4 linked regions of the Arabidopsis thaliana genome follow. The protein of the gene in region 4 purifies or fractionates together with the protein of the main gene of each other region. This does not show direct contact. Each region holds a gene or a part of one and is shown on either strand. Other genes may lie near its edges.

The links.
Region 1: the proteins of SUVR2 (region 4) and ETL1 purify together in Arabidopsis thaliana (affinity purification with western blotting; one study listed by BioGRID). This does not show direct contact.
Region 2: the proteins of SUVR2 (region 4) and AT3G20010 purify together in Arabidopsis thaliana (affinity purification with western blotting; 2 studies listed by BioGRID, with this or other methods). This does not show direct contact.
Region 3: the proteins of SUVR2 (region 4) and AT1G50410 purify together in Arabidopsis thaliana (affinity purification with mass spectrometry, with the first as the bait; one study listed by BioGRID). This does not show direct contact.

Annotation. Positions count from the first base shown.
Region 1 is NC_003071.7:521,161-527,772, forward strand, and holds ETL1 (SNF2 domain-containing protein / helicase domain-containing protein), read left to right. Parts: upstream 1-2,062; 5' UTR 2,063-2,320; coding exon 2,321-2,905; intron 2,906-3,101; coding exon 3,102-3,219; intron 3,220-3,299; coding exon 3,300-3,340; intron 3,341-3,424; coding exon 3,425-3,675; intron 3,676-3,744; coding exon 3,745-3,925; intron 3,926-4,034; coding exon 4,035-4,220; intron 4,221-4,305; coding exon 4,306-4,479; intron 4,480-4,561; coding exon 4,562-4,720; intron 4,721-4,811; coding exon 4,812-4,889; intron 4,890-4,986; coding exon 4,987-5,123; intron 5,124-5,213; coding exon 5,214-5,432; intron 5,433-5,561; coding exon 5,562-5,724; 3' UTR 5,725-5,908; downstream 5,909-6,612. Other genes in the region: IDD4 (indeterminate(ID)-domain 4), read right to left, coding at 1-10. UniProt on the Arabidopsis thaliana protein: DNA helicase that possesses intrinsic ATP-dependent nucleosome-remodeling activity and is both required for DNA repair and heterochromatin organization.
Region 2 is NC_003074.8:6,968,815-6,977,106, reverse strand, and holds AT3G20010 (SNF2 domain-containing protein / helicase domain-containing protein / zinc finger protein-like protein), read right to left. Parts: upstream 6,425-8,292; 5' UTR 6,241-6,424; intron 6,165-6,240; exon of another isoform or gene 5,996-6,164; intron 5,826-5,995; 5' UTR 5,756-5,825; coding exon 5,650-5,755; intron 5,545-5,649; coding exon 4,868-5,544; exon of another isoform or gene 4,340-4,867; coding exon 4,268-4,339; exon of another isoform or gene 4,194-4,267; coding exon 4,116-4,193; intron 4,018-4,115; coding exon 3,039-4,017; intron 2,657-3,038; coding exon 2,526-2,656; intron 2,282-2,525; coding exon 2,060-2,281; intron 1,937-2,059; coding exon 1,373-1,936; coding exon of another isoform or gene 1,325-1,372; exon of another isoform or gene 1,248-1,324; coding exon 1,038-1,247; exon of another isoform or gene 996-1,037; intron 872-995; coding exon 767-871; 3' UTR 416-766; downstream 1-415. Other genes in the region: TOM40 (translocase of the outer mitochondrial membrane 40), read right to left, coding at 6,860-6,913, 7,000-7,095, 7,202-7,285, 7,384-7,452, 7,586-7,687, 8,018-8,083, 8,196-8,246. UniProt on the Arabidopsis thaliana protein: Probable helicase-like transcription factor involved in transcriptional gene silencing. Associates with SUVR2 and contributes to transcriptional gene silencing at RNA-directed DNA methylation (RdDM) target loci but also at RdDM-independent target loci.
Region 3 is NC_003070.9:18,670,282-18,678,559, reverse strand, and holds AT1G50410 (SNF2 domain-containing protein / helicase domain-containing protein / zinc finger protein-like protein), read right to left. Parts: upstream 6,425-8,278; 5' UTR 6,256-6,424; exon of another isoform or gene 5,780-6,255; 5' UTR 5,733-5,779; coding exon 5,642-5,732; intron 5,564-5,641; coding exon 5,037-5,563; intron 4,538-5,036; coding exon 4,466-4,537; intron 4,395-4,465; coding exon 4,317-4,394; intron 4,232-4,316; coding exon 3,301-4,231; intron 2,955-3,300; coding exon 2,824-2,954; intron 2,614-2,823; coding exon 2,395-2,613; intron 2,273-2,394; coding exon 1,691-2,272; coding exon of another isoform or gene 1,670-1,690; exon of another isoform or gene 1,593-1,669; coding exon 1,383-1,592; intron 1,300-1,382; coding exon 1,195-1,299; 3' UTR 908-1,194; downstream 1-907. Other genes in the region: SCL3 (scarecrow-like 3), read left to right, coding at 1-383; AT1G50400 (Eukaryotic porin family protein), read right to left, coding at 8,238-8,278. UniProt on the Arabidopsis thaliana protein: Probable helicase-like transcription factor involved in transcriptional gene silencing. Associates with SUVR2 and contributes to transcriptional gene silencing at RNA-directed DNA methylation (RdDM) target loci but also at RdDM-independent target loci.
Region 4 is NC_003076.8:17,695,969-17,702,960, forward strand, and holds SUVR2 (SET-domain containing protein lysine methyltransferase family protein), read left to right. Parts: upstream 1-1,873; 5' UTR 1,874-2,126; intron 2,127-2,475; 5' UTR 2,476-2,485; coding exon 2,486-2,737; intron 2,738-2,847; coding exon 2,848-2,904; exon of another isoform or gene 2,905-2,959; coding exon of another isoform or gene 2,960-2,992; coding exon 2,993-3,031; intron 3,032-3,115; coding exon 3,116-3,377; intron 3,378-3,489; coding exon 3,490-4,607; intron 4,608-4,785; coding exon 4,786-5,036; intron 5,037-5,172; coding exon 5,173-5,239; intron 5,240-5,342; coding exon 5,343-5,393; intron 5,394-5,517; coding exon 5,518-5,614; intron 5,615-5,736; coding exon 5,737-5,765; 3' UTR 5,766-6,068; downstream 6,069-6,992. Other genes in the region: PDLP1 (plasmodesmata-located protein 1), read right to left, coding at 1-490; AT5G44000 (Glutathione S-transferase family protein), read right to left, coding at 6,263-6,448, 6,540-6,789. UniProt on the Arabidopsis thaliana protein: Probable inactive histone-lysine methyltransferase that acts as regulator of transctiptional gene silencing independently of histone H3K9 methylation.

The sequences.
Region 1 (6,612 bases), on a different chromosome or scaffold from region 4:
ATGACGACATCTTTAGATCTTCTTCTTTGCGTGGAAGAGAATAATCTACAAATAATTCGTAAGACAAAAAAGTTAAGAAGAAAACGAAGGGAGGAATTATAAGAACAGGAAAAATCCATAGAGATTGACGACATGAAGAAATTTTATAAAAACCATTTCACTAGAAGACATAAACAAAGAAAAACAAATTAAGAGTTTATACTTTTGTTTTTTGTTCCTAAACTTTTGAAAGAATTAAGAGGAAAGATTTCTAAGTTGTATTTTTCTTGTACCTGAGATCAAGAGAAAGAAACCAAGTAGAAGAAGGAAAAAAAATAGTCAAAATTAAAAGCTATAAATCGGAGCTAAAGAAAGAACCAAGAAGAAGATGATGCATGATGATGATGATGAGATAGAAGATGATGATGAAGAAGAAGACACTATTCCTATATATTATGTATTATAATACAAACACAAACCTCAAAGCCCTATCTCTCTCTATCTCTATATCTCTTTCTCTCTCTACTGTTTTGTGTTCTTCTTCTTTTAAAAATAAGCCATATATGAAATGATCTTGAAAAGTATGTCTCTAAGGTCCCCTCTCTGTCTCTATCATTTTATTTTATTTCGATTAATATAAAATAAAGCTACTTTTTTTCTTTCTTATAATTTAATTTGACAGAATTAAGAAGGATGGTTACGGTTTGGGTGTCACTGTTAAAACGGTGAAATGTGTCCACATGCGGGGGTGTGTTGTGGGTACCACATTTTTCTCATTCGTATCTTTCTGGTGAGCTTTAAGACAAAACCCTCGTTTTCTCTTCATTTAACTTGATTAGGTTTTGTTGTACTAACTTTTTTTTAATTGTTTTTATCTAATAAAATCGTTTATAATATAACATATCGTATATTAATACACATGATACACCAATCAATAGAGAATTTTTTAAAATTTGTTAGATTCTTGTATGAAAATTAATATATTGCTTTTCTTCTTTGGTTCAATTCTTCAACCTTTCAGAATGTTCAATGCAAAACAATCGAACCGATTGGTTTTGAATCAAACCTAATTAATCCTGAACGAGTAACCAACTCTCAACCGATCTGAATAGATTTTAAAACGATATATCACAAAATCTCCAATATCACTTTAAGAGCTTTGAGAAAATATTATTGATATATTATTATTCGACCGTAAAGTTTGATTTTCTCCTTTTCACTTGGGCTTTTTAATCTTATACAATTTAGTTTTATTTTAGTTTACAAACGACAACATATTTAAGTAACAGGTGACTTCTCAACTTGATCCTCTCTTCATTACCATCGATGCTTTTTAAGTTATACTGAGATCGTACCAACTGCAATGGGTCAGTGCCGGGCCATATTCAATCAGGGCCTCCCTGATTGGGTTGTAATATGATTTCAAGTTAGTAATATGAAATAGCACACAGTCACGCACACAAAAGAGCCTATATAAGGAGAGATATACCACAAACAGCCCAAGACCCAGTTGTTTTAGATGAACCAAAATTGTATGGAAATATTTAGTATTTGAAACTGCCGTCACCAAGATGGCAAGGTCAGAGAAACTCAATAACAACTCTGTTTCTGCCATTCCGAGAGTTAATATTAATTTTCAGAGTTAATGGATTAGCTAGTAAACATATATATACAAATGATAATAACCTGTAGAATGAGGATTAAGATCGAGAACGACGAGGTTATCTTTACCGCAACATTCCAAACGTAGCCAAAGCTCTATTACCATACCCCTCAATGTACATATCCAGCTTATAAGACTCCTATCCAGTATCCACCATCCAACGAAACACACTCTCAGATTCTTCCACATTATGAATACATGTCAACCAAATAATTTCTCACCTCAACCATCATTTCAAAACCAAATCTTCAAGCAAACCCCATGGATTTAAAAACCCTTTTCAAGTGCGTCAAACAAACCACAAGCTTTTAGATTTGTCGAGAAAGTGAAGTCGTTGGGCCCATTTCTTCGGATCCCTTAAGTTCACCATTAAGTACTCATTAGAGCCCATTTCTTGGGGCCCATTAAGAGATTAAGTCCGCGCGCATAGCTTTTGGAGGATGCCGCTCTTTTGTAAGAAGCAACACGTTGTTGAGTCTCTAACCTTTCTTTGAAATCTTGACCTTTCCCTTCCTTCTCCGCTAAATTCGTTTTAATTTCATCTTCTTCTTCTTCTTCAATTCGATGCAATAATAGTCACTTCAATCTCAATCTAGGGTTTTCAATTTTCTTCATGTGAATTTTTTTTCCCCTTCTTCTCAATTTCAATTCAATCTGGGATTCGTAAATTCTCGGAAGATGAAACGCGATTTCGACGAAATCTCCGAGGAAGAGTGGTCTCAACACTCGTTTAACGCTTCGCGAGTTCTTAAACGACCACGGACTCCGAAGAAGACTCGCGCGGCGACGAATCCAACGCCGTCGATTGAGTCTTTTGCGTTTAGGAGACCTTCGACGGCGATGACGATTGAGAGTAATAGCAGCGATGGTGATTGTGTTGAGATTGAGGATTTGGGAGATTCGGATTCGGATGTGAAGATTGTGAATGGTGAGGATTTGTTGTTAGAGGATGAAGAAGAAGTGGAAGAGACTAAGGTTGTGATGCGCGCTGCGAGAGTTGGTAGGAGATTTGTGATTGAAGATGAAGAAGCGAGTGATGATGATGATGATGAGGCTGAGAGTAGTGCTAGTGAGGATGAATTTGGAGGAGGAGGAGGAGGAAGTGGAGGAAGGAGAGGAGAAGATGAAGATGTTGTGGGGAAGGCATTGCAAAAGTGTGCTAAAATCTCAGCGGATCTTCGAAAAGAGCTTTATGGTACTTCTTCTGGTGTTACTGATAGATACTCTGAAGTTGAAACTTCTACTGTCAGGATTGTCACACAGGTACTGGAAATTATCACTTTGGTGTTCTTAAAGTAGTTGCTTTGAGACGATTTAGAGTGTCTTCCTTATACAATTGTGAAGTAACTTTTGATTAGATAGCATATTTTGGTGGTAAGCTTTGATTGGTTTGGTTAGAGTTTACTGTTTTGTTAACTAAAACTTGTTTACTTTTGGGTTGAATCTGTGATGATCGCAGAATGATATTGATGATGCATGTAAAGCAGAGGATTCTGATTTTCAGCCTATACTCAAGCCGTACCAGTTAGTTGGTGTTAACTTTCTTCTTCTGTTGTATAAGAAAGGAATTGAAGGAGGTATGTGTTTTTACTAGTTTCGATCTGTAAACCTTTTTAGCGTGAATGTCACTTTGTAACTCACTTTCTATTGTTTGTAGCCATTTTAGCCGATGAGATGGGTCTTGGAAAGACCATTCAGGTGCATTTTGCTCTGTTATTACTGGATAAGTTTTCTTTGTTTCTTTATCTTATAAAGAACTAATTTTGTTCTCATTTACCTTAGGCAATCACATATTTAACCCTCCTAAGTCGCTTAAACAATGACCCTGGTCCTCATTTGGTTGTATGCCCTGCCTCTGTCTTGGAAAACTGGGAGAGAGAGCTCAGAAAATGGTGTCCGTCGTTTACTGTACTTCAATACCACGGAGCTGCGAGAGCAGCCTACTCAAGAGAATTGAATTCTTTGTCAAAAGCTGGGAAGCCACCACCATTCAATGTGCTTCTTGTGTGTTACTCTCTGTTTGAACGGCATAGGTGCAACTCTTGATGCTTTTATTTGCTTTTTGGCTTTTCCTGTTACTCACAGATGTTGGAATTTTACAGTGAACAACAGAAAGATGACCGAAAAGTACTGAAACGGTGGCGCTGGAGCTGTGTTTTGATGGATGAAGCCCATGCGTTAAAGGATAAGAATAGTTATAGGTGGAAAAACTTGATGTCTGTGGCCAGAAACGCAAACCAGCGTCTTATGCTTACAGGAACGCCTCTACAAAATGATTTGCATGTACGGTTGGTTTCTGTTGATTTTTTCAGGATCTAATTACCTAATATAGACGACATTTCTTCATGTGGTCATACAATGCTTATTCCCTGCATATGTTTGGTCTATGCAGGAACTATGGTCGCTGTTGGAGTTCATGTTGCCTGATATATTTACGACAGAGAATGTTGACTTGAAGAAGTTGTTGAATGCAGAAGATACTGAGTTGATTACTCGAATGAAATCTATCTTAGGTCCTTTCATCTTGAGGCGTTTAAAATCTGATGTCATGCAGCAACTTGTTCCGAAGATACAGCGGGTATGGATATATCTATGCACAATTAAGTACACGATATTAATCTTCTAGCTGCAAATCTCATTAATTTCCCATCAATCCAATGCAGGTTGAATATGTATTAATGGAGAGAAAGCAGGAAGATGCATATAAAGAAGCCATAGAGGAGTATCGTGCTGCTTCTCAAGCACGGCTTGTGAAGCTTTCATCAAAATCCTTGAATTCTTTAGCCAAGGCACTTCCAAAGCGTCAAATTTCAAACTATTTTACTCAATTCCGGAAGGTAATTCTCAGCTACTAATACAAAGCCCCTTTTGTGCCAAATGAGTGTGTTATTCATGTGTTATTAAATTTTGGTTGTACAGATTGCAAACCATCCATTGTTAATTAGGCGGATATACAGCGATGAGGATGTCATTCGCATCGCCAGGAAATTGCACCCAATCGGTGCATTTGGATTTGAATGTTCCTTGGATAGAGTTATCGAGGAAGTTAAGGGTTTCAACGATTTCCGTATCCACCAGGTAAATGTTTCTCTTTCCAAAAGCAGTTGAATATCCATTAACAAACATGTTATGCAATTGAAGAAGCTAACTAACTTGTTTCTTTCCATAGCTTTTGTTCCAATATGGAGTTAACGATACCAAAGGAACTCTCTCAGACAAACATGTCATGCTCTCAGCAAAATGTCGGGTACGTGATATTCTTCTTCATTTCATAAGTCTTCTTTGTGAAACTGATTAAGTATAACTAAACCTGTGAGCGATCTAAATCTCCCTTTATGTATCAGACATTAGCTGAGCTTCTCCCTTCAATGAAGAAATCCGGCCATCGTGTTCTAATATTTAGTCAATGGACATCGATGCTCGATATCTTAGAATGGACACTTGATGTCATCGGCGTTACATACCGAAGACTTGACGGCAGGTAATAAAAGAAAAAAGAGTAATTTGTCACATTTTTGACGATTCTACAAAAAGGAAGAAGCTTAAGTCATTTTCCTTTTGTTTTCAACAGTACTCAAGTTACAGATAGACAAACCATAGTCGACACATTCAACAACGATAAGTCGATATTCGCATGTCTCTTGTCAACTCGAGCAGGTGGACAAGGTCTTAATTTAACCGGAGCGGATACAGTCATTATTCACGATATGGATTTTAATCCACAGATTGATCGGCAAGCTGAAGATCGTTGCCATCGTATTGGTCAAACAAAACCAGTCACTATCTTCAGGTTTGAGCTTTAAATCCTTGAATCAGTTTAGATAACTTTCAGAACAAAATTGTGGTTTGGATTGGTTTATGTGTGCTCTGTTTTGTATTCTCACATATATCTGTATTAACTCTGGCAATGCTGGTGCAGACTGGTGACGAAATCGACGGTTGATGAGAACATCTACGAGATAGCGAAGCGGAAACTAGTTCTTGATGCGGCGGTTCTAGAGTCCGGAGTTCACGTAGATGACAACGGAGACACGCCTGAGAAAACCATGGGAGAGATTCTTGCTTCTCTTCTCATGGGATAACATTATTGTTACCTTTTTTGTTTTGAGGTAAAATTAGTCAAGAAACGAAGTTAATGTGTTATTCTAAACATGTGTAACCACTAGCTATTATTAGACTTAAATTTAATAGATCACGATAGTTATATTTTCTTCTACGCATGTAAATTATAACCCAAAAATTTCCTTCTTTAGACCTAAAAGTCACAATTGTTCCAAACACTAAAATGTGGATCAGTGATCAAATGAAGTGAACCTTCAGGATAGTTTAGTCTTCGATCATCAAAGATTGTATAAAGGAGTGACTTAGCTGTATTTGTAGGTATCAAAATTGAAAACCTCACGCAATGATTAAAGGTCTCAAGTATCTTTATTCGTCAGAGTTGTATAAGACACAAATCTCACTAGATTGTTTTCCCATTGTCTTTGCCGAAACCTAACAATGAACAACTAGTTCTATTAGGATTGGTTCAAGAATGTCACATAGTATAAGTTTTTCTTAGCTGAAAAATTCTAGATAACTTGGAATAAATTCTAGATAGTCTTTTTTTTTTGCTACATTTGAAGATAAATATCTATGAAAATGTTCAAATTCATGATTATATTATTGCGATTAAATAATTGAATATGACTATACAAAATAATTCACTAGTAAATCAAAGCCATACTAAGTTTGGATTCTTTGTGGTAACTGCCATTGCCAAGTCACGTTTTGAAGGTGTTCTCATGGTCAATTTACACTTAAAATTGAACCTGAAAACTAAGGCCAACCGGAAACTTGTTGAATTGTGTGAAGTGAGAAAATGATAATCGTGTATAACTTATAAAGTCACATGATAAAGAGAAAGCAACCAGCTTTTTGTCTGCCATAACAGTTCTTTAAAATATAGCCACAATTATACTACTTAATTT
Region 2 (8,292 bases), on a different chromosome or scaffold from region 4:
GGTTTCTCACTAATCAGTAAACATGTGGATTTCTTATTAGTGTTTCTTGAACCTACAATGCAGAGTTTTCTCATTCATTTGTTCTAAACCTTCCTAGAGTGTATCTACCTTTTCAAGAAAGAAAGGGGGTTCTGCATTTTCTCTTCTGCATACCTTCCTCTTAACAGCTAGGTGTCTGTCCTAAACCGTAAAACCGTATGTAGGTTGAGTCCACTCTCCAATCATCGGTTATAAACAATGTACCATGAAGGAACAAGGCAACAAGCTATGAATATACATACAGAGGATCTCTCATCTAATCCACATTGCTGGAAGAAGTTAGCACAATACAAAGATTGACCAAATTGTACGGCTGGCTTCACAAACTAATGTTTCCAAAGCATACATGAGACTGCCTTCAAGCTGAAAACAATGCGTGGAATGTCATGATATAAGAGAGACGTGAAATACAGAACAAACTTTTAAGCAATTGATCTTTTACATTTAAGGTCAAAATCCTACGTGGTATATATACCATGAACCGATTTTAGTTATTTACTTATGGCCTGTTTCCAATCGATGCACTTTGGAAACACCAAAAATGCATAGATTGGGTTCAAACCTTACAAAACCAAAGGAGTGCCACAGTATTGGATATCCATTACAAAAGCAGCTAGAGGTTTCTTCCTGATCAAAATTCTGGGCTAAATCTCCCATATGTACTGTACTAAGCAACCTAGTTCAAGAGGCGATTAGAAGGCTACGCTTAGACCATACAACGAGTAGTCTACACCATAAACAGATACTTGAGATCGTCTACTGTTAGACGTGTCGCAGAGCTTCCACCATGTTCTTCACCAAAGGCCGATGCAACCATTGTCCTTTTCTCTTCCTGAAAAAAAAATGGTAAACGAGAAAATTCATAAGCCCTTCATAGTCTACCACAAAAACTCTCTTTAGTAATTAGCTTGAAAAAATTACTGTAAATATAAATCTGAAAAGGAAACCAAGGGAACCCAAAACCCAGCGACAATGAGCAGATAGAGTTTAGAGAATACCTGAAGCTTCAAAATTCTATCCTCAACGGTGTCTTTTATAGTTATGCGAGTTACAGTAACTGGCCGAGTTTGTCCAATACGATGTGCACGATCAATCGCCTGATCTTCGGTAGTTGGATTCCACCAAAGATCCAAGAGAATAACATGACATGCAGCTACCATATTCAGCCCAAGGTTTCCAGCTTTTAGCGACATCAGCATCACCTTTACCTAATAAAATTTTTTTTGCGCTTTTAGAGAGCTTCAGGATCAATACTCCATGAACATTCCATATTTCAGAGAAACGATTAGTATATTGTTTTAGAAAACATATCTAAGATATTTACATCACTTACATCTGGTTTTTTACTGAATTCTTTAACCGCCCTGTCTCTTGCTGCTAGACTCATTGTGCCATCTAATCTTCTGAATTCAATACCACTTTCAAGAATACGCAGCTCAACCAAGTCAAGCATACCAGTCCACTGAGAAAATATTATCGTCTTTACTGCCCCCTGGCTAGGTGAAGATGAGTGAAGACGCATTGGCTCTACAATGGTAACATCATCGTCATCATATGGCCGTGAGGAAGATGGCATTTGACCATGCTGAGCTGAGTTTGGACTGTCTGGTTGGGAAAGCGACTGCAGGATATCGAGGACAGCTTTAATTTTTGATGAACAAAAGTCTCTTTTTTGAAATACCGATCTATCAAGACCATTATCATGAGAGGAACTACAGCCCGAATCATCAGAAGTGCAATTTCTAAGAGAAGATTCAGAGAAAACAACATCACGCGCAAGCTGTTGTTTGCATCTCGGTACAGGGCACGTGTTCTCATCCCCAGTTATGTATTCTAAAACACATTCATAGCAAAATATATGGCCACACAACGTAACAACAGGTTTTTCTGGTGGCTCCTGCGAATAAATATGAAAAAAAAAGAAGCAAAGATAGTCAGGACAAGACCTAAGAACTAGAGAATAGTGAGCCTGAGGACATGCTATTTCTAGGTCTCATTTACTCTGCACTTCTGCACTTACATTGCACTCATAGCAGATGGCAGATGATGACTCTAAGCGATTGATCAGTCTGCTTCGAGCCTCCCTAGGGAGTCTTCTAACTGCTGCTTCTGATACTTTTCCAACAGGATCTGAGTTATATCTTTTAACAAGTTGTGGGTGGTCACAAGCTTGGCGTAGTCGCAAAAGCAACAGAAGAATATTTGCGTAGTTTTGACTCAAAGTTCCCGCATCAGCATAGGCCTGCAGGGAAAATGAATTTATCATCCTATCGGGTACAGCTACTAGTTTGTGTTCTCTCATAGGACGAAATGAAGACTTGCAAGACACTCAGAAACATGGATCTCCAATAAAATTGCTGCATAACTACAAGGTCACATTTATTAAGCATTTAGTTGCTATAAATGGATCTTCTTAACCAAAAAAGTGCACATCAATTGTAAACCAAGTATGAACAGATACTTTGTGGGGGAAAAAATAGGAGAACCTTGAACTGTGAACGTGAATCAGCTTCAAGCTTCTTGTAGAAAGAGCGCTCAGCCACTGAAAAGTCTACCTGGCTCAAATTTACTACCTTTGGAGGTAGATTAATTATGGGTTTCCCATCAAGCAATGTTCCTAGATAGCAGAACAGTAGATATTTAGCAGAAACCATCAAGTGCAGCACAACCACGTACGAATATAATAGGAGCAAAGTAAAAATCTACCATCAAACAGAAAATATCAAAATAAAAATGAACAGATGAGAAGACAAAAGGAAAAATGTACAGATGAGAAGACAAAATTGTTATTTTATTAACCACATGACCGGAGGACTAACTCAGGTGACAGGTTCAATAAACTAACAGGTACTCTCTTTATTGAGTACATTATAGATAAGCCGATAAAATCACAAAGTGTCAAGATAACATAGATAATATTAATAGTAATGATTGAGAAGTCCCGGCCACATAAACAACTCAACCAACCATCAAAGAGAATAAAGAGATGATCAGAGTACCTTTGGTGCGGCGCAGCATTATAGCCCTTAGAACAGCTTGAAGCTTCTTGTAACCTTGACAAGAATTTCTGGAAATTGGAACCTTGATTGTACTGTAAAATGACTTGTACACCGCATATGGATCATATCTAAGAAACCTGAAATAGCTATATAAATCATCAATCGTATTTTGTATTGGTGTTCCAGACAAGCACCACCTCCTTTTGGCTCGAAGAGTGCAACATGATCTTGCCATTTGTGTTCTATAGTTCTTAATTGTCTGAGCTTCATCTAGTACTATTCTGAACCACCCAACCTTTCCTAGAGGACCACAATCAGGCTCAGAAGAAGTATCGTTAGTGCTTTTTCTACCTCTTCTTTTACTCTTCTTACTAGCACCCACCACGACTTTCCGTTTCTTATTGTTGGAGAAGCCAGAGGCAAGACCATATCTGTCAGTATTTTTTTCATCGTTCTCATCCTCATCCACCAAGAATTTGTTGGGAGCTTCATTAGTAACAATAGCGTACGTTGTCACAACCACATCGTATTCTGCTAATTCATTAGGATCTTTGGTCCTATTACTACCATGGTAGACTAACACAGAAAGTTTGGATTCTTCAGAAACCTTCTCATCAAGCTCTCTTGCCCACTGCCTTACAACACTCGCTGGGCAAACAATTAATGTACCAGCAGCTGGTCTCTTCCACTGAAATGCTCGTGTTGAAGAATTAGCTTCTTCATCTTCGGCTTTCTCCATATCTGAACTGTCATTCTCATCATTACCACATGCACTCAGAACCGAGGTCTCACTGTTGCTTGAAACCTTGAGCTCTGGTTTTACATGACTACCACTTTCATGCTTTGCATTGTCTGACTCATCATCAGCATCCAGGACTAATGCCTCAGTTTCTTGCTTGCATGAACTTTCGGACTTCAGTTGTGACACAATCTTTTGCTTTAGGATAAGAGCAATCGTCGAGACCGTCTTACCAAGTCCCTGCAGAGTAGACGTTACATAGTTTGAGGTAAATATCCAAGCAGCAGACTCACAGTATCACAGATATTTATTAGTCAAGAAATTTAATCAAATGTGACCTGATCATCTGCTAGTATCCCTCCTGGACAGTTGAAACTACTTGTTTCCTTCTGAAACATCCATGCCAACGCAATTTTCTGAAGACCAGTAGTACTTAATACACAAACCAATACCAACGGCCAATAAATGGAAACTTAAAACATGCTACTACCTGATGCCTCATAAGAGGAACTGAAAGAGTACCAGGAGGTAGATCACTTTCAGTCATGGGTTGATTCAAAACCTGCAGGATTAAAGTACTTGATAATCAAAAATGCACTTACCACGCCATTTCATATCAGGTAGATTATGGAACAACACCGAGCTCTCAACACCCTTATAATGTACCAGAGTAAAATCGGAAAATAAATGCTACATCTATTGTCAATGATCCAAATTATTATTAATTATCATTATTTCTCAGACATGAAGAAAACGAATGCAGCTACATTATTATTTTAAGATAGTCAGTATAAAATTGAGTTGATCCAGCATGGTAGTATGACCGAAGCATCAATGAGACATGCAAACGCTTATAAAACGTTTCATGCACCATGCACCTCAGAAAAATATTTAACAAAAAAAAATGAGCCAGATTTAGAGTCAATTATTGCTCCATTATACTCTATGACAATCATATTAAGAGATTCAAAAGAGCCGGCAAAATGTAAAGCTGGTACAAGGGGCAACGATAACTAGATATGCAAGCACAAAAGAAGAGCTTAAGTGTTGAAGTCCACAAATAACAAAGGGTTGTGCTGAGGATGAATACCTGTAGTGCAGCCTGATAAACCAGCCTTTCATCGTTATCAGGATTCCTATCTTCACCACCACCAAACCTGTGCATTGGATCACTCGAACCAGCATGATGCAAAACAGAAGCAGATGTTCCATGCGTCAGAGATGGAGGCAGGATCCTAACCCCATTCACGCCACGTTGAATTCCTATCTCAGCATGGGCTCCACTATAATGATCACCAAAGGTACTCTTGTTGCCTACAGCTGACACAGCTGGATGACTATAATCGGCACCAAAGCGACTCCCACCAGCATTACGTATATTGTTTGTGCCACTTCTGGAAGGAAGGGGAGGGGGATTAAAAGAGGGTGGAAGAGTTCTTTTCAGAGCTTGCTGAGACAATGGTCTCTCATAATCCACACCAACACGACTTCCACTAGCATTACTTATATTGTTAGTGCCACTTCTGGCAGGAAGGGGAGGGGAATTAAAAGAGGGTGGAAGAGTTCTTTTCAGAGCTTGCTCAGAAGACAGTCTCACATAATCAGCACCAGATCCACTGGAAATTCTCGAGTTTACAGTGTTCCCATTCCCTGTGAAAGGCTTAGAGACTCCAGGCCGAGAAGTATCACTCGAGGCACCATTGGGAGGAGCCTGATTTGTATGTTCAGCTCTAGCATGGCTATCCACTGTAGGCAAAGGTCTCCTGCCTGCAAAGAAAAAAACACAGCATCAAAGTCGATCAGTCCATAAAGCTACCAAAACTAACCTCACCAGAAAGACCGAAATTGACAAAGATATGCCAAAAACTATACTTAGCCATGTGGGATCCATCCTGGTTCGAGTTTGTGGCCAAACAGGCTGCGGTGGTACTTCGTCATCACTATCACTACCTGAACTAATTTCAATAGCAGAATCCATTACAAAATCTCCTTCAACGTCAGTCTCCTCAGAAGAATCAGTAATAGGTCTTTTAAGAAACCGAATCAGCCTGCGAAGCAAAAGATTTGTGTTATTCTCCAAATGAAACCCACTACAAAGCCACCATTTGAACTAACATTCGAAAACAAAGCATCCTAAGCAACAACAAAAATCAACAATCAGCACCACAAAATAAGTTGATTTTTGAAAACGGTGTAAGGTTGACGACTTGGCATAAACCTCGAAATGGATGATCAACGGAACAAAAACGCTATTTCGCTGAAATCGGAAACTAATTTAGCAACACGGAAAGCGAAAGAAGGCCATAAACAAAAGAAATCAAGCAATGCGGGATTCAGAAATGTAAAACCCTACACGATGAGGTAAATGTAAGAAAAGTAAAACAAAAAAAAAAAACAGAAAAAGTAGAAGAGGAAGACGAGAAAGAGCTCGAATCGGAAAAAATGGAGGGAAAGGAACAGTACCAGGGAAGAAGCGAGTTGGAGAAGAAAGACGCCACTGTACACTAGGGTTTTTTTCGCTCGGAATCTCTCACAAATGTTTGCGGTTACGACGGAGAAAGAGATGATGAGTACAAAAACCCAACGTACAATTTCAATTTCATCCAAGTAAAAACTCACATTTTCTCGGCCCACTGTGACGTCTATCTCGGCCCACTGTGACGTCTATCTCGGCCCATCTTATATTTCCACGTCAAAAGCAACAAATCTCAGGTGATTTTATATTCGAATAAAATATTTTCAACAAATCAGACAACGAACGAGGAAGAAAAAAAGAATTCGTTTTTTTTTATGGCAAGGAAATGAAATGATACACCTCTCTCGGAAGTTCACGAGATCTTAGAGCAAGGAAGTAAAACAAAAACCTCATTTGCTTCTTCTTCTTTTATAAAATGGTTCTTGGAAACAAATCCTAAACCTCAAATAACAACACAACATCGTTACCGTTTATCTTCCCAACTTCACCAAAAAGCCTAAACTGAAATAGAATAAATTTTAACCGAAATCCTCGCAGCTGAAACCACTACTGCTGCAATCTGCTCTGTGCGCCAGGCTTATTGTGTGCCGGTTTTTATTCGGTCTTTTAACCAACTGTTAATCCGAAACCAAACTTGTAGTCCTTCTTCTTATGATCCAGCTGGATCGAACAAAACGAAACCAGAGTTTTAAAGGAGAATCAATACAGGAACCAGCGGAAATCTAAGTAGCAGATCATTTGTGTACCTCTGCAGAAAGAAGAAAATTGAGTCCCATACTCAATCTTTCTTCAAGGAGAGCGGATGCAACACCGTTTGAATCGATCTTACCCCGCACACGAGCCTGAAACAAAACCCATATTATTAGAATAATACGGATTTAGAATGTTCTTTTGTTGCTTGTTTTCAATTCACTTACAATCCAGGGAAAATATGGCAATGTTACTTACCTGTCTAAGCATATAGTCATAACCCACACTAGCTGTTACATCTCTTGAAAAGTAGTTGTACATGAAATCAGTGGCAAGTGACACCTGTGTGTCATGATTCATGAAAAAGATTGAATGTGTCATGATATATCTCTCAACTCTACAAGGTTTTAAGATGCAATCAAATGAGAACGGTACATCACCTTATCTGAAATCTTCTGAACATAGTTCATAACAACAGCACCCGTGCTAGCAACTTGACCAGAAGCAACCTGTTCATCAAGAACAGTTCTTAATATGATGGGTATATAAACTCAAAGTGTTCAAAATTCTGATCTACTTTCAGCTAACTGAGTTTTTGAACCTTGCAATTTGTATAATAAACCAACTGAGATGAAGCACTACCATTTTATCTGTCTCGTATCTAGCAGCATAGCCTATTCCCGACTTCCGAGGCACACCAGCCCAGAAAATTTCACCACCCAAGGATAAATGGTTTGTAACACTCTGTACAAAAAAATTATGATAATTTAATGAATAGAAAAAAACAGATACATTCCTTACTTAAAATTTTAACTATTACTGATCAAAAGAAAGACTGCCCACAGATAAAAGATATATATATAACTTTGACCACAGAAACTAAGCATGACATAATCACAAAGTCTAATAGAACGACGTAAGGTTCACCTCTCATCTATGTCACAGCTAGACGAATCAAGGCAAACAGTACACGGTTAAAACACTCAGAGATGGTTAGTAACCTTTCCCTGGCTATTTGACTACACAGAAAAATCTAGAAAGTTTCCACTGTAGCACGGGACAAGTCAAACTTACCTGGATATAAGTTGCTCCAATTAGGGCACTCTGTCCAAGTTGAAGCTGAGCTCTGTAGTCTGATCCCTACATAAATGTGAGATAAAAACAGTTAAAAAAACTCAATGAACCAAATACTGTATAATAAAAAGGTACATCACAAGGATAGGAAATTATTATATACAGAGAATTTTCATACCATGTAATCAAAGTTGAACATTGCTTGTGACATATGTTCCTCATTTGTTATCTGGTAAAGAAAGTAAACAAAGATGACAAACACAATATTACAGAGA
Region 3 (8,278 bases), on a different chromosome or scaffold from region 4:
CCACACTAATGGAGAGGCTATTAGAATCACTTTACACCTACGCAGCATTGTTTGATTGCTTGGAAACAAAAGTTCCAAGAACGTCTCAAGATAGGATCAAAGTGGAGAAGATGCTCTTCGGGGAGGAGATCAAGAACATCATATCCTGCGAGGGATTTGAGAGAAGAGAAAGACACGAGAAGCTTGAGAAATGGAGCCAGAGGATCGATTTGGCTGGTTTTGGGAATGTTCCTCTTAGCTATTATGCGATGTTGCAGGCTAGGAGATTGCTTCAAGGGTGCGGTTTTGATGGGTATAGAATCAAGGAAGAGAGCGGGTGCGCAGTAATTTGCTGGCAAGATCGACCTCTATACTCGGTATCAGCTTGGAGATGCAGGAAGTGAATGATATATTACAGTTTGTCTTCTATTTTGGTTATGAGCAGAGTCCCTTTCTTTTTTGTATACATGGGGACACAATCTTAGTTGTTTTGTGATGGTGACTTTCTGTCTCTTTATGCTATTTTGGCTTAAATGCTTCTACTGCCTCTGCATGTAAAGCCTTTGTGTGTTGGTTCAATTTGGTCTGGTGTGGGTGTAATACCAAACCAAATCCAATTTGAGCTGAAGATAACTAATTTGATGATCGGTTCAAGTTCAGAACTCCAAATTCTTTCAGAGACCAGCCAAACTTTGCCTATCTTTAAGCAGGTGATCTTGTCATTTGTGTATTGTAAATAACTTAAACTCGGTATATATATTTAGGTTACTAAAGGACATGTTCACTATCCAAAGAGTATACGACTTATCTGCTGTCCAAATACTTTGTAACCTAAAGTTCACGTGCTTCATTTACATTGAATCTAGTTTAACCTAATCTTCTTGCTTCATTTATATTTGAATTTTGTTTAAGCAATCTAGTCTTTATCTTGTCTTAGCAAATTCACAGAGTGTTTCTCATGCAAAAGTGTTGCATGATCAAAACACCTTGATAATAAGATTGAAAGAGTAATGTGATCCCAAAAGGAAAGAAGATCTCGGATGAACTGATTCAGAAAAAGTATATACTCTGATGTTATATATACTATGAGACAACAGCTAAGTTATTTACATATTTCCTCATTTCAAATCTGTGAACCTGAAGAACACAAGAATGCAGCTCATGATCAAAATTCTGAAAGAAGCGAAACTTCGCCAACCCAAGATTTAAGAACAGCTACACCATGAATAGATATTTGAGATCATCAACTGTTAATCGAGTTGCAGAGCTTCCACCATGATCTTCACCAAAGGCAGACGCAACCATTTTTCTTTTCTCTTCCTATAATAATAACCAAAAATCACACAACCACAAATGAGAGAAACTGAGGGGGGAAACAAGTATCAGCTATAAGGGATCTTTACCTGGAGAGCCAAAATTCTATCCTCCACAGTATTTTTTATCGTAATACGAGTTACAGTAACAGGTCGAGTTTGTCCAATACGATGTGCTCGATCAATAGCCTGATCTTCAGTAGTTGGATTCCACCATAGATCAAGAAGAATGACATGACATGCAGCAATCATATTCAGCCCAAGATTTCCAGCTTTTAAAGACATTATCATCACTTTTACCTGTTTAAGACAAAAAAACAAAAAAAGGAGGGAACACATACACCACCACTAAGAAAATTGTTTAGGAAAAAATGATTTCAGATATGCATACGACTTACATCTGGATCGTTGCTGAATTCTTTCACAGCTCTGTCTCTGGCAATTAGACTCATTGTACCATCTAATCTTCTGAATTCTATACTATTTTCAATTAGAGATAGCTCCACCAAGTCAAGCATACCAGTCCACTGAGAAAATATAATCGTTTTTATTGGTCCTCCATTAGAAGGAGTTGACTTCAGACTCGTTTTCTCGACAATGGTGACATCATCATCATCATCATCATCATCATCATTCGGCTGCTGCGAGGAAGAAGCCATTTGACCATTCTGTGTTGAGTTTGAAGTGCCTTGGTTAGAAAGCGACTGCAGAATATCTAAGACAGCTTTGATCTTTGATGAACTAAACTCGCCATTCTGAAAAACTGATTTATCATGACTATTATCCTCTGAGGAACTACAACCCAAATCATCAGCAACGCAACTTCTAAGCGTGGATTTAGAGAAAACAACATCATGCGCAAGCTGTTCTCTGCATCTAGGCGCAGGGCACGTGTCCTCATCCCCTGTGATATAATCTGATACACACTGATAGCAGAATATATGGCCACACAAAGTAACAACAGGGTCTTCTGGTGGATCCTGCAAAGAGAAAATAAAACGGAATTTATGGGTAAAGAAAATCAGAACAAGCAGCTAGGGACTTAGATTATGGCGAACCTGAAGATACGCTACTTATATTTGCTAAATTATTATGCACTTACATGGCAGACACAACAGATGGGAGACGATTCTAAGCGACTGAGCAGGCTAACTAGATCCTCTTTAGGGAGTTTTTTAACAGCTTCTTCTGATACTTTTCCAACAGAATCTGAGTTATATCTTTTAACAAGTTGGGGGTGGTCACAAGCTTGGCGTAGTCGCAAAAGCATGAGAAGAATGTTTGCATAGTTTTGATTCAAAGTTCCTGCAGCAGCATATGCCTGCAGAGAAAAAAATATCATCTCACATACTTGACAGGAAATCAGGAATCACTGCAAAACATTTTTTTCAACGAAAATGCCTCCATAACCTATGTTTATACCATATCAAGTTGCTAGTTACTACGTAAGTATCATATTTTTCAAAAACGTGCAGATCACAGCTATAAACCAAGGATAAACTGATAGTTTGGAGGAGCACAGAAAGAGCACCTTGAACTGAGAACGGGAATCGGATTCAAGCTTCACGTAGAAAGACCGCTCCTCTACCGAAAAGTCCACCTGGCTCAAATTAATTGTCTTTGGTGGTAGATTAATTATAGGCTGGCCATCAAGCAATGTTCCTAGATCGCAGATCAGAAGAAGAGTATCAACTTATCAGAAACCCTCAAAAACAACACAGTTACTTGAGGGATAAGAGGAGTAACATGAAAAATATATCATCTAAAAGCAGAAGATCAGAGTAAAATGAAATGGAAAAATGCACAAACCGAAGAATAGTATTGGACTTAACTTTAGGACTATCATTAGGTAATGGCTCAGGTAAGATCACAGCTAATCTCATTATAAAGTATCTAAGATATAAGCAGATATAATAAGAAAATGCATGACATATGATATACCACTTTTGTCAAGTCCTGTCCCTCACCAATCCAACCACTAAAAGGAATAGTGAGATAGTTAAAATACCTTTCGTACGGCGTAGCATTATAGCCCTTAGAACAGCCTGAAGCTTCTTGTACCCTTGAAGGGAATTTCTGGAAATTGGACCCTTAATTTGGTGGCAGAATGACTTGTACACAGCATATGGATCATATTTTAGAAACCTGAAATAGCTGTATAAATCATCTATTGTATTTTGTATTGGTGTTCCAGACAAACACCACCTCCTTTTGGCTCGAAGACCGCAACATGCTCTTGCCACCTGGGTTCTATGATTCTTAATTGTTTGAGCTTCATCTAGTACAACTCTGAACCACCCAACTTTTGCTAGAGTACCAGAGTCAGGGTCAGATGAATCGCCAGCATTATTGTTACCTTTTTTCTTCTTACTCTTCTTAGTAGTACCCACTACATTTTTCCGTTTCTTATTGATGGAGAAGCCAGAAGCGAGACCATATTTTTCAGAATTTTTTTCATCATTCTCATCGTCATCAACCAGGGGTTGCTTTGGAACTTCATTTGAAACAATGGCGTAAGTTGTCATAACCACATCATATTTTGCTAGTTCAATAGGATCTTTGGTCCTGTTACCGCCGTGGTATATTAAAACAGAAAGTTTGGCTTCATCAGTAACCTTCTCATCAAGTTCTCTTGCCCACTGCCGCACAACACTTGCTGGACAAACAATTAAAGTACCAGCAGCTGGTCTCTTTCTGTTGAATTTGCGTGTTGAAGTACTCGCTTCTTCTCCCTTGGCTTTCTTTATGCCTGAATCACCATTCACACCACTACCATTTGAAGCCTTAGACTCTGGTTTCTCAAATGCATTTTCTGACTCATCATCAGCATCCAGATCCAATGCTTCAGCCTCTTGATTGCCTGAATTCTTGGACTTTAATTTTGCCTCGTGCATTTGCTTTAGGATAAGCGCAATAGTCGAGACTGTCTTACCAAGGCCCTGTGCAGTAGACCAAATGGAATTTGAGGGAAACCTAGTAAGATCATAGATAGTTAAGCGGAAAATAACTACGATTAAAAGTAACCTGATCATCAGCTAATATCCCTCCCATACAGTGCAAACTATTAGTTTCCTTCTGAAACATCCATGCCAATGCAATTTTCTGAGAAACAACAGTGTTAAGTACACAAGACCATTCTGACAGATACTGAAAGATGATGTAAACCTGAATACCTGATGCTTCATAAGGGGAACCGAAAGAAGACCAGCAGGTAAATCGACCTCGGACTTGGGTTGATTCAGTTCCTGCAGAAAACATGTACTTAATTATCAGAAGTTTAAGCACTTATCACACCAATTCATATTGTGGGCAAAAGTCTTTATTTTTAAATCACACCATTTCATACCAGGGGAATTATGCAAAAACACCAAACTCTTCAAATGGAAATCATAACCTTGATGCAACAGTGCGAAATAAGAGACGAATGCAACAATAGTGAATGTTCCTATTCCTTCTCGTTTGTCAAAAAGGAAGAACAACAATGCTTCCATACACATGGTCTAAAACAGAGAAATTCAGCATGTTACCCGGTCTCAAGCATCATTGAGAAATTGAGACATCCGAACCTTTAAAAACCTATTACTCATTTCTGACATAAAACAAACAGGAAGAAACGAGCCTATTCCAATCATTCAATGGCCAAGTTCAACAACCCCACAGCTGGCGAAAAAGAGAAGTGCATTGCACAAAAGAAAAACTAAGATGAGAATCGCAAAAGTCAAAAGTTGGGATAAGGATGAACACCTGTAGTGCAGCCTGATAGATCAGCCTCTCGTCATTTTCCGAATTCCTTTCTTCGCCTATGCCATTCCTATGCATTGGATCACTTAATCCATTAAAATGTGAAGGAGACGCAGATGTTCCGTGCGCCACAGATGGAGGTAGGATCCGAGTGCCGTTAGTCACACGCCCCATGCCTAGATCATCATGTGCTCCACCACGAAAGTGACTCGCATTCCCGTTACTTGTACCAATATCAGGTCTAGGAGGAAAAGGAGGTCGACTAAAGGTTGGTGGATGTGTCCTTTTAAAAGCTTGTTGAGATGAAAATTTCTCATAATCACCAACAGAGATATTGGGAATTCTGGAAGTTACGATACTCCCATTTCCCGGAATATGTGTATGGTGTTCTGCCCGAGGCAGTGGCTTGGATTCAAAACCATTACGTGAGTCGAGATTTGTAAGTCCTGTTTTAGTGTGGCCATTTGCACCGGAAGAACTCCCACTAAGAAAGTGCGGTCTCAGCGTAGAGAGATCTCTTCTATGAGATCCTGCACCAAGATCAACAACTCCATAAAGCTAACCTCACAGCAAAACAAATAAAACAATTGATAGGTCAGAAATGCAACCTTCAGCTATCCGTGGGGGATGTTGAGGCCTGGTTCTAGTTTCTTGTATCTCGACATCACTATCAGAACTGATATCAATAGCGGAATCCATCGCAAGACCTCCTTTAAGAGAATCAAGCGGTCAAGTTTCTAATCAGCCTGAAATACGCAAGAAAGGAATGTTAATCATCTAAAACGCAAAACTTTACAAAGCGCTCTGTTATTGCGAGAAAGGCAAATCCGAAACTAAGATTACCAAAAGAGTAGGATCAAACAAAGTAAAGCTACATACTTTATGAAGAGAATCACTTGCTTATTGTAAAGTAATGCTAAATCGATATAAACAATCATAATCACCAAAAGAATGTTTCAAGTGGGCGGTGGCTTTGGAAACTTTGTAATGTTTGAAAAAATTAGCATCAATCTCTAGAGGACGATCACCGAAACTCTTCAGCTTGAACAAAAAAAAAACTCCAATTGAAGATTATTCAGAAACCCAAATAAGCAATTAGGACAGAACAAAACAGAACAACGTCATGCAATGGCGGGACAACATAATCAAAAACCAAACTTTCGATGTAAGAAACCCTAAGGGCACGACGAAATAAGGAAAATTGGGGAGAATCAGTGAGTACCGGGGAAAGAAGTAAGAAGCAAAATTGAGAAAAGAGAGAGTGTGAAGCCAATTGTTGTTCTTCATAGGAAGGGTTTTTTCCTCAGTTGACCCAAAGGAAGAATCAGAGACGCAACGGCGGCGTTTTGATCGGAGAGAAAAATGAAAAAAGAAATATAGATACGCTCTCATCGGTTTTTTAAAAAACGAGGAAAAATCTCAACAAATAAATTAAATTAATAGTAGGAACAAAAAAACAGAACCAGGCCCAAACCTCTCGGCCCATATTATTTCAACTTCACATATATATATATATATATATATTAAGGATGATTGTTGACCAAAAAAAAGAAAAAAATCATTGAGAACATAATTAAACAAATTAGACTGTGAATTCTCACTCCATAAAATGGGTATGAAATCAAAAAAAAAAATTGTTATAAAATTTACTAGTACTGTTTCTTATTGGTTTTGAATGTAATATATCACTAAAAATTTCTTATATAAAAGTAAATTATAATTTCAAAAATACTAATTGACATAAAAAAAATTGAGCTTCCGAGATATCATTTACATTAATCAAGGTGGACACTACTAATATTTCCTGGAATTTTAAGATACATGGATCTTGAATCCACATCCACCATATATGAGAAACGACATATCCAGATCCAAATCCGTTAATATCGGATTCAAATCCACCATAAATAACTCACAATTAAAATAATAGTATAAAACAAATAAAAAGTTTGTATCCAAATTAATCATAAAACAAATTTAATTATCAACTATTTTTCAAATGGATTAAATTTAAAATATTGCACAACAAATTTAAAATATTTTTTTTGGTGATTTTTTGAGCAATTTATATAAAATAAGGATATCCTAATTTTTAAATCAAAATATCTAAATCCAAAGATTTTGGATAACCTATTTTTAGATCGAATTTCAGAATGAATCTTGGATCCCGAATATTTTGTCTAGCAAAAATTCAGAACCCATTAGAAACAAAAAAAAGCCATTGAAAGAATTCAACAAAATGAGATTTTACCTTTTGGACTAAAGCACCGATACTTAGTCTCAAGATTTTACTAAGATTTTTCTCGTAGCCTTCTAGTATTGGGATTGTTTCAAAAGTAGGACAACAGAAAAATATGTGGTGGTATTAGTAGATTTGTTGTTATCTTTAGAATTTAGAAAGACGTATATTTATATAGGGATACAATATAGTTCGAGTTTTAGTTATTGGAAACTTTATTCCCTAAATACTAAAAATCTTGTGAAGTAAATATTTATAGTTGACCAAAATTTCATAATAATTACCTTGGTTTGGAAAAAACATAAAATTGACTAAGTTTATTATAGACAATTTATTTTATAATAATAAGAAAGAAAATCGCTTAAAAATGTTAAAAGTAAACTTCATCCAAAGTCTTATTATTTATGTTAAACTTATAAAAAATACAAAACTATTTCTTACATGTATAAAACCTTGTAAATATCTTAGAAAACATTTTATATACTTTATAAAAACTTTTAAATATCTTATAAAACCTTATAAATACTTGGATCGACTCTTCAAAAATTAGTTACTATCGAGAAGTACCATGTAAACAATAAACTTTACTAACATTATCAGGTTTAATGAAAGCATTTTTGAAAATGTATGAAAATGAGTACAACAAAAGGAGCAATTTTGAAAATTCCTCCACTTTAAACTATTTTGTTAATTAAAAAATTAACTGAAAGCTAAAAGAAAATTTAGACTATTTTCATAGTTCTCCCAAAGTTAAATCTAACAAAAAAAGAGTTCTGATGTTTACACATTAATTAAATTAAATAATAAACAAGAAAGGCTCTTCCTCAATGTGAAATGAAGAAACCTCCTTGGCTTTTATTCTTGTGGGAGCAATACAGTAAAAATATCTAAACTAAAAAAACTGAACATCAAAAAATAACCAAATCTTGAGGTTTCTAACTAATTGTGAAGGCCATTTGATGGAATTAAAAGGCGTTAACACCGAAACCAAACTTGTAATCCTTCT
Region 4 (6,992 bases):
CCCTTTTCCCGACAAACCCAGGATCGTTAGAATCTTTTTTCCCACAGACACGGAACAACATCTCCGTACCGGAAGTTTGCCGGAATCCTGAACTCTCATACCGGATATAACATCCAGCGAGGTGAACACGAGCCGCCACCACATTACCGTCATCTCTGCCGCCACCGCAGAGTTTAGAAACGAGTTTAGGGATTTTGGAGACGCAATCGTAACACTGAGCGTTTTGGAGATCGCCACGGCACTGAAAAACACCGATCACGGCGGTGGTGTTATCAGTTCCGGAGGTTACGGAAGCGAAAGAGCTTTGTGATGATTGAGAAACTAAAGAAGTGAATAAGTTTTTGAGATTCTGAGAGAAAACACCAGTTGGGTCTGGAGATTTCTGATTTGCACAACCTTTAAAGATCAGATTTTTATAATCATCATCACCGGAGATTGCAAAGAATGGTAAAAAGAACCAGAAGATGAAGAATTGATAGGTGAGTTTCATAATTGAGAAAGACAGAGAGAGATTTTTGTTTCTTGATGTTCAAAATCTTTTTACTAGTTTGTTTCTGTCTAATAAAGTTTGTGTTGTTTTTATGTGTCCGGAAAAAAGAAAGTTTTCCGTTTTTTTTTTGTCTTTTGTTTTGAGGTTTAAAGACAAAAAAATGTAAATAAGAGCAGGTTTTGTAGTATGAAACCATGAAAAATAAAGGAGTATACTTTTCTTTGGATCTTGCTTCAAGGGTAAGATAAAAAAGAAAGAAACTTTGAGACGACAAGTGTTTATTATATAGATTTGGTTTAGGAGATTATGTAATACAGTATCAAAAAAAAATGATTACTGTTTCTTCTTTTTTGTTGTTGAATTTAGTGAATAACCTTTAATGCCATTAAATCTGACTTTATTGTCTGAATTTGGATTTTGTTTTAGGACATTGATGGAAAAACACCTTTTGTGTATATGTATTTTTTGTTTAAGGCACTAAGATATATTTTGATGAGTTTGATTTAAATTGTAGGCTGATACGAGAAGGAAAATAAAATCTTAGACCTTGTTGTAAATGTGAATGATTGATTCGATTTTATTTTGTGTCCAAAACAAAACAAAACATGATCGTTTTGAGTTTACATAATTTCAGAACATAATTGCGTAGTAACTGGAGTAAATAATAATAAACCTGTGTGTTTTTGTAAACTACAAAAGATATTATCACTATGATTATTTTGAGTTAATGATAAGCATGATTGTTTTTGCAGGATTTTGGATTTCACATTCTATATGATATATTTTGAGTTGGTGAGTGTGGAAGATTTGTCAACAACCCTTGATCTCACAAGAACCAAATTGCCTTTGTGTGTTTGGATTATAGCTCTCTTGGAACCTTTGTTGATGTATTTTACCTATGCTTTTGCTTACCTTTTATGGTATTGGGGAATGCCTATCTTTGTTGTATGTTAAAACTTTGTGATCTTAGAATCCTTCTACCTTTGTACTTGTTTTCTCTTGTAGATGAATGAAAACAAGCATTTGCCCAAAAAAAAAAAAAAAAGATTGCTCGGAGAAGTAGAGGTGTTCCCCAATGTTTCAAAATCATTAAGAGTTAAAGACTACAAAAGGAAAGAACTAATACTGTATACTGTAAAAGATATGTGAAACTCTTAATTAAGTATAGATTCCCTATACAATATTAGTGAATAATTTTTATAAAATAAGGTTACCAGAACTGCCTGCATTGGATTTAAATACCGGAGAATTTGAGACATACATAGTTACATACACATGATAGTAGTAAGATCAAAAACAAATCTTAAGAGGTCAATAAGATTCGCTTATTTATTGAGTTTGACCCGACCCAATTAAGCCCGGCCCATTAAGCAGAGAAGAAGAAGAAAGAGAGAGGGTCAACAAAAAGTCACAGTCGAACAAGATACTGAGAAAGAAACGAAATTTCACCTGGCACTGTCCTCGCGTGTACTCTCACGCGCCGACGTAATACTCTGCCGTCGTCACCGACATTGTCTCTACGCCGTTGTCATTTGCTTATTACGGCCAAGATTCTTCACTAAGTAAGTCAAAATCGTGGAATCCTTTCTCTGTACCGAGCTCGCTTTAAACCCTAACCCTCTCGTCTCTGTACTTAGTAAGTTCTTCTAATTTCCGACGAAAGTCTTCTCCTTTTTGAGTCTCATCGTCATCTGAAAACGCTATTAGCTCTCTGGAAGAGAAAAAACAACGTTTTGTTAGAGTTTCTTTGTGCGATTGTGTTTTCTTAAGAGGAAAGGTTTCAACTTTCTTAGGATATTCAATTTCTGAGTCTTTTCTGCTACTTGTGGTTAGTCTTTGCTGCTAGGTAGATGTCTGTAGTCTTGGTTTGTTGTTGATTTGCTTTAGGTCTGTCTTTGCTTATTGTTGTAATGTTTTGAGTTCTGGCCACATTTATTTCCTTACTGAACGGCTCTTCACATCTTGTTTCTTCCGCATTTTGATAGGACGAGGCAAATGAGAAGTTACAACTTGTTTCACGAAAGCAATCCCACAATCAGTTTTAGTTTTGTTGGTGCAGAAACGATGGCACCTAATCTGCATATCAAGAAAGCATTTATGGCTATGAGGGCTATGGGAATAGAGGATGCGCGAGTGAAGCCGGTCTTGAAAAACCTTCTCGCCCTTTACGAGAAAAACTGGGAGTTAATTGCTGAAGACAATTACAGGGTTCTTGCTGATGCTATCTTCGATAGCCATGAAGATCAGGTATCTTTCTTTGTTCTCTCTTTGATCTACTGTTTTTTTTTTTGTAAATCTGTTGTAATCATTGTCTTTGTTATTACCTTGACATTCCATATTGATTTACTTATATAAAGGCTATTCAAGAAAGCGAAGAAAAGAAGGCAGACGAAGTTAAAGAGGATGAAGGCTGTGTATGTTTTTTCCAAACAATCTTCCATTTATTAGTTCAATGTTGCTTTATTATCCATGCTTCACTTTGTTGTTGATCCAATCTTTCAGGCCGCAGAAGTTGACAGAGGAAAGAAAAAGCTCCATGAAGTATGGCAAACTGAATATCTTTGCTGTGTTAGAGTAATGTGTCTTCATGTTCTTGTTTATTCAGTTTCTGTTGTGTAATATCAGTCTATCGAGGATGACGAAGATGTTATGGCTGAGTCTGATCGCCCTTTAAAGAGGCTGCGACGCAGAGGTGAAGGAGGCTCTGCTTTGGCAAGCCCTAGCTTGGGCAGTCCGACTTTAGAGGGACCTTCAATTAATGACGAAGAAAATGCTCCGATCCTATTGCCATATCATCCTGTACCAATTGAAAATGACCATGATGCTGGTGAGCTCATTCTTACAAAAGTCGAGCCCATTACAAATATGCCTCTCAGTTCTATTCCTGGTACTTTTTTGTAAATAGGAGTAACTAAATCTTATTTGCATTGCTCATTTTGTTGTTATGATTGTTGAAGCTACTTTCTCCAAAACTAATGTGTCTTGTACGTTTTCTGTAGATTCAGTAGATAGAGGGGACTCTTCCATGCTTGAGATAGACAAATCAAATGGACATGTGGAAGAGAAGGCTGGTGAAACAGTAAGTACTGCTGATGGTACTACCAATGACATTTCTCCTACAACTGTTGCGAGATTTAGTGATCACAAGCTAGCTGCAACCATAGAAGAACCTCCAGCACTTGAATTAGCTTCTTCTGCTTCAGGCGAGGTGAAGATTAATCTTAGTTTTGCTCCTGCAACTGGAGGATCAAATCCCCATTTACCTTCTATGGAGGAACTACGAAGAGCAATGGAGGAGAAGTGTCTCCGATCATACAAAATACTGGACCCCAACTTTTCTGTGCTTGGTTTTATGAACGACATCTGTAGCTGCTACCTGGACCTGGCAACAAACGGGAGAGATTCAGCTAACCAATTGCCAAAAAACTTGCCGTTTGTCACAACGAACATTGATGCATTGAAGAAATCTGCAGCAAGGATGGCTTATACTTCTCAGGCCAGTAATGATGTTGTTGAAATCTGCAGCAACGAACATATGCGTGATGCTGAAAACGGTGCAGTTGGTGATTCCATGGCTTTGGTAGTTGTTCCTGAATGCCAACTTTCTGCAGATGAGTGGAGATTGATAAGCAGCGTCGGGGACATCAGTCTAGGGAAAGAAACTGTTGAGATTCCCTGGGTGAATGAGGTCAACGACAAAGTTCCTCCAGTTTTCCATTACATAGCCCAAAGTCTTGTGTATCAAGATGCTGCAGTGAAGTTTTCGCTTGGGAATATCAGGGATGACCAATGCTGCTCCTCTTGCTGTGGAGATTGCTTGGCTCCGTCAATGGCATGCAGATGTGCAACTGCTTTTAATGGCTTTGCATACACAGTAGATGGCCTCCTACAGGAAGATTTTCTGGAACAGTGTATCTCTGAGGCCCGTGATCCGCGGAAACAAATGTTACTGTATTGCAAAGAATGTCCTTTAGAGAAAGCCAAAAAAGAAGTAATCCTGGAACCGTGCAAAGGGCATCTAAAGAGAAAGGCCATTAAAGAATGTTGGAGCAAGTGTGGCTGCATGAAGAATTGTGGCAACCGAGTTGTCCAACAGGGCATTCACAACAAGCTGCAGGTACATTCAACTTACCAACCTTTTTAGCCAAGTAGTCCAGGATTTGATAATCTAAACCCATCTCAGTTCTGATAGAATTGAAACTGATTATGATCATTTTAACTTGGACTTAACCAGTGGAGAGATTCTGATGCCTGAATTTTGTTTATGTTCCTTTTTTTTTTTTTTTTTGAATCAGGTGTTTTTCACGCCCAATGGGAGAGGCTGGGGACTCAGAACTCTAGAAAAACTGCCTAAAGGAGCATTTGTCTGTGAGCTTGCTGGAGAGATATTGACCATTCCAGAGTTGTTCCAACGCATCTCTGACAGGCCTACTTCTCCAGTAATATTGGATGCGTACTGGGGTTCTGAAGACATTTCAGGGGATGACAAAGCACTTTCTCTTGAAGGAACGCACTATGGAAATATTTCCAGGTTCATCAATCACAGGTAAAGGGACACTGAAAATGAGTTTGTTATAAAGTTTCATATGACTAGCCTAGATTTAGAACTCATTTGGGAAACTTATATAGTTGGTTTCACTCTCAATTCATTACTTCTAACTGTACTATGTCTATATGTGCAGATGCTTAGATGCAAATTTGATTGAGATCCCAGTTCATGCGGAGACTACTGATTCACACTACTATCATGTATGACACAGTTCCTTGTTTCATTTCTAATCATTTGCTTATAGAAGACTCATCTGTTATGTGGAAACAATAGACCGATTAGCTAATCTGTATTTTTTTCCAGCTTGCATTCTTCACAACAAGAGAGATCGATGCTATGGAGGAACTTACCTGGGTGTGTTAGAAGTTTCTCCACCCACTCTTAACAGATTTGTTTCTTTTAGAAATTTTCACTAGTTCGGGTTCAAGTCCTGTTTTCTTTGTGGTTCTGTTTGAGAAGTTTTGGACTTGACCTGCAGGATTATGGTGTCCCATTCAACCAAGATGTGTTTCCCACGAGTCCGTTCCATTGTCAATGTGGTAGCGACTTCTGCCGAGTCAGGAAGCAGATTAGCAGTGAGTAATCATCACACGATTTCTATTTGATAATCCTTTTCCTATATTTGACTGTTATCTCGGTTTTGAAACATGAGCCCTTCACTATTTTGCAACTAACACGCAATTTGTTGATGCTGCAGAAGGCAAGAATGTGAAGAAGCGAGCATGAGAGAGAGCTTTACATTGGTAGGTTTTGAAGATATGTGGTGGGCGCAAACTCCTTTTTGTTGTGAATGAATTGGCAAAAAAATTCCAATCGAAAAACGCTTTTTGTAAAAAATTCCGACAATGCATATAAGCAAAGTCGCGGTCCATAAAATAGGTAGGTAGCTATCAGGATGAAACTATAATCCTTAGAAACTGATTCACTTTTGTGATATCAAAAACTCGTGTGAATATCTTAATTTTGGTTCTAACGGCTATGGCTTTTGGTTATGACTTATATTGAAAGATCTCTCTATTTATATAAATCGTAGTATCGAAGTGAAGTCTTGAAAGTGATTTCACCTTAAGAAGAACTCCCATGAGAATCACTTGTGGAAGGCTTCTCTCTCTCTATATATATGAGGAATGATAATAGTACAAGATCAAAGCTTATTACATTGTATGATACTTTTGAGTGCTGTTGGATAATCCTATCATTGAGTTATGTACAGTTTTCTACGCTTAAACCGAAAGCTGTGCTTCAATGGCTTTACCTACCAAGTCTCGGTTATGAGGTCTCCAGAGAGAATCTTGATCGCCAGATGAAGAAATGGCCGGTTGAATTCCACTAGCGTTTAGCGGAAACAGCGTCTTGTAGTAGCCATCCATTATAGCCGAAATATCACAAGTAGCCGCAACACCAGGAATCTGTTTCAACAACAACAACAAACACATAATTTGAAACACACTCCCAGATGCAGAATTTATGTCTCAGAGAGAAGCCAGTAAGAAGAGGAACCTGGTAAATCTCGCGCAAATAGCCATAGAGATTTGGGTATTCAACAAGCTTCTTCTTGGTGCATTTGAATAGAATGTTGTAAACCGAATCAAAACGAATCAGAGTTGTGAACAGACATACATCAGCCAATGTCAACCTTTCTCCACACAAGTATCTATTACTACCCAAGTGATCCTCAATCTCATCTAAGGTACTAAAGAGTTCATTCACTGCTCCATCATACGCTTCTTGGCTCTGCGCAAACCCGCACCTTTCAAAAATCACCACACATGACACAACAAACAAAGCCATCAACTTTAGCAACAAACACACATTGCAGCATCAAGAACACAAGCTACGCAAAAACCGCATCAAATGTGAACAATTCAGTTGCTTTCTATAGCTTTTAATACTAAAGAGTTCATTTTACAGCTCCATCATACACTTCTTGGCTCTGCGCAAACCCACACCTTT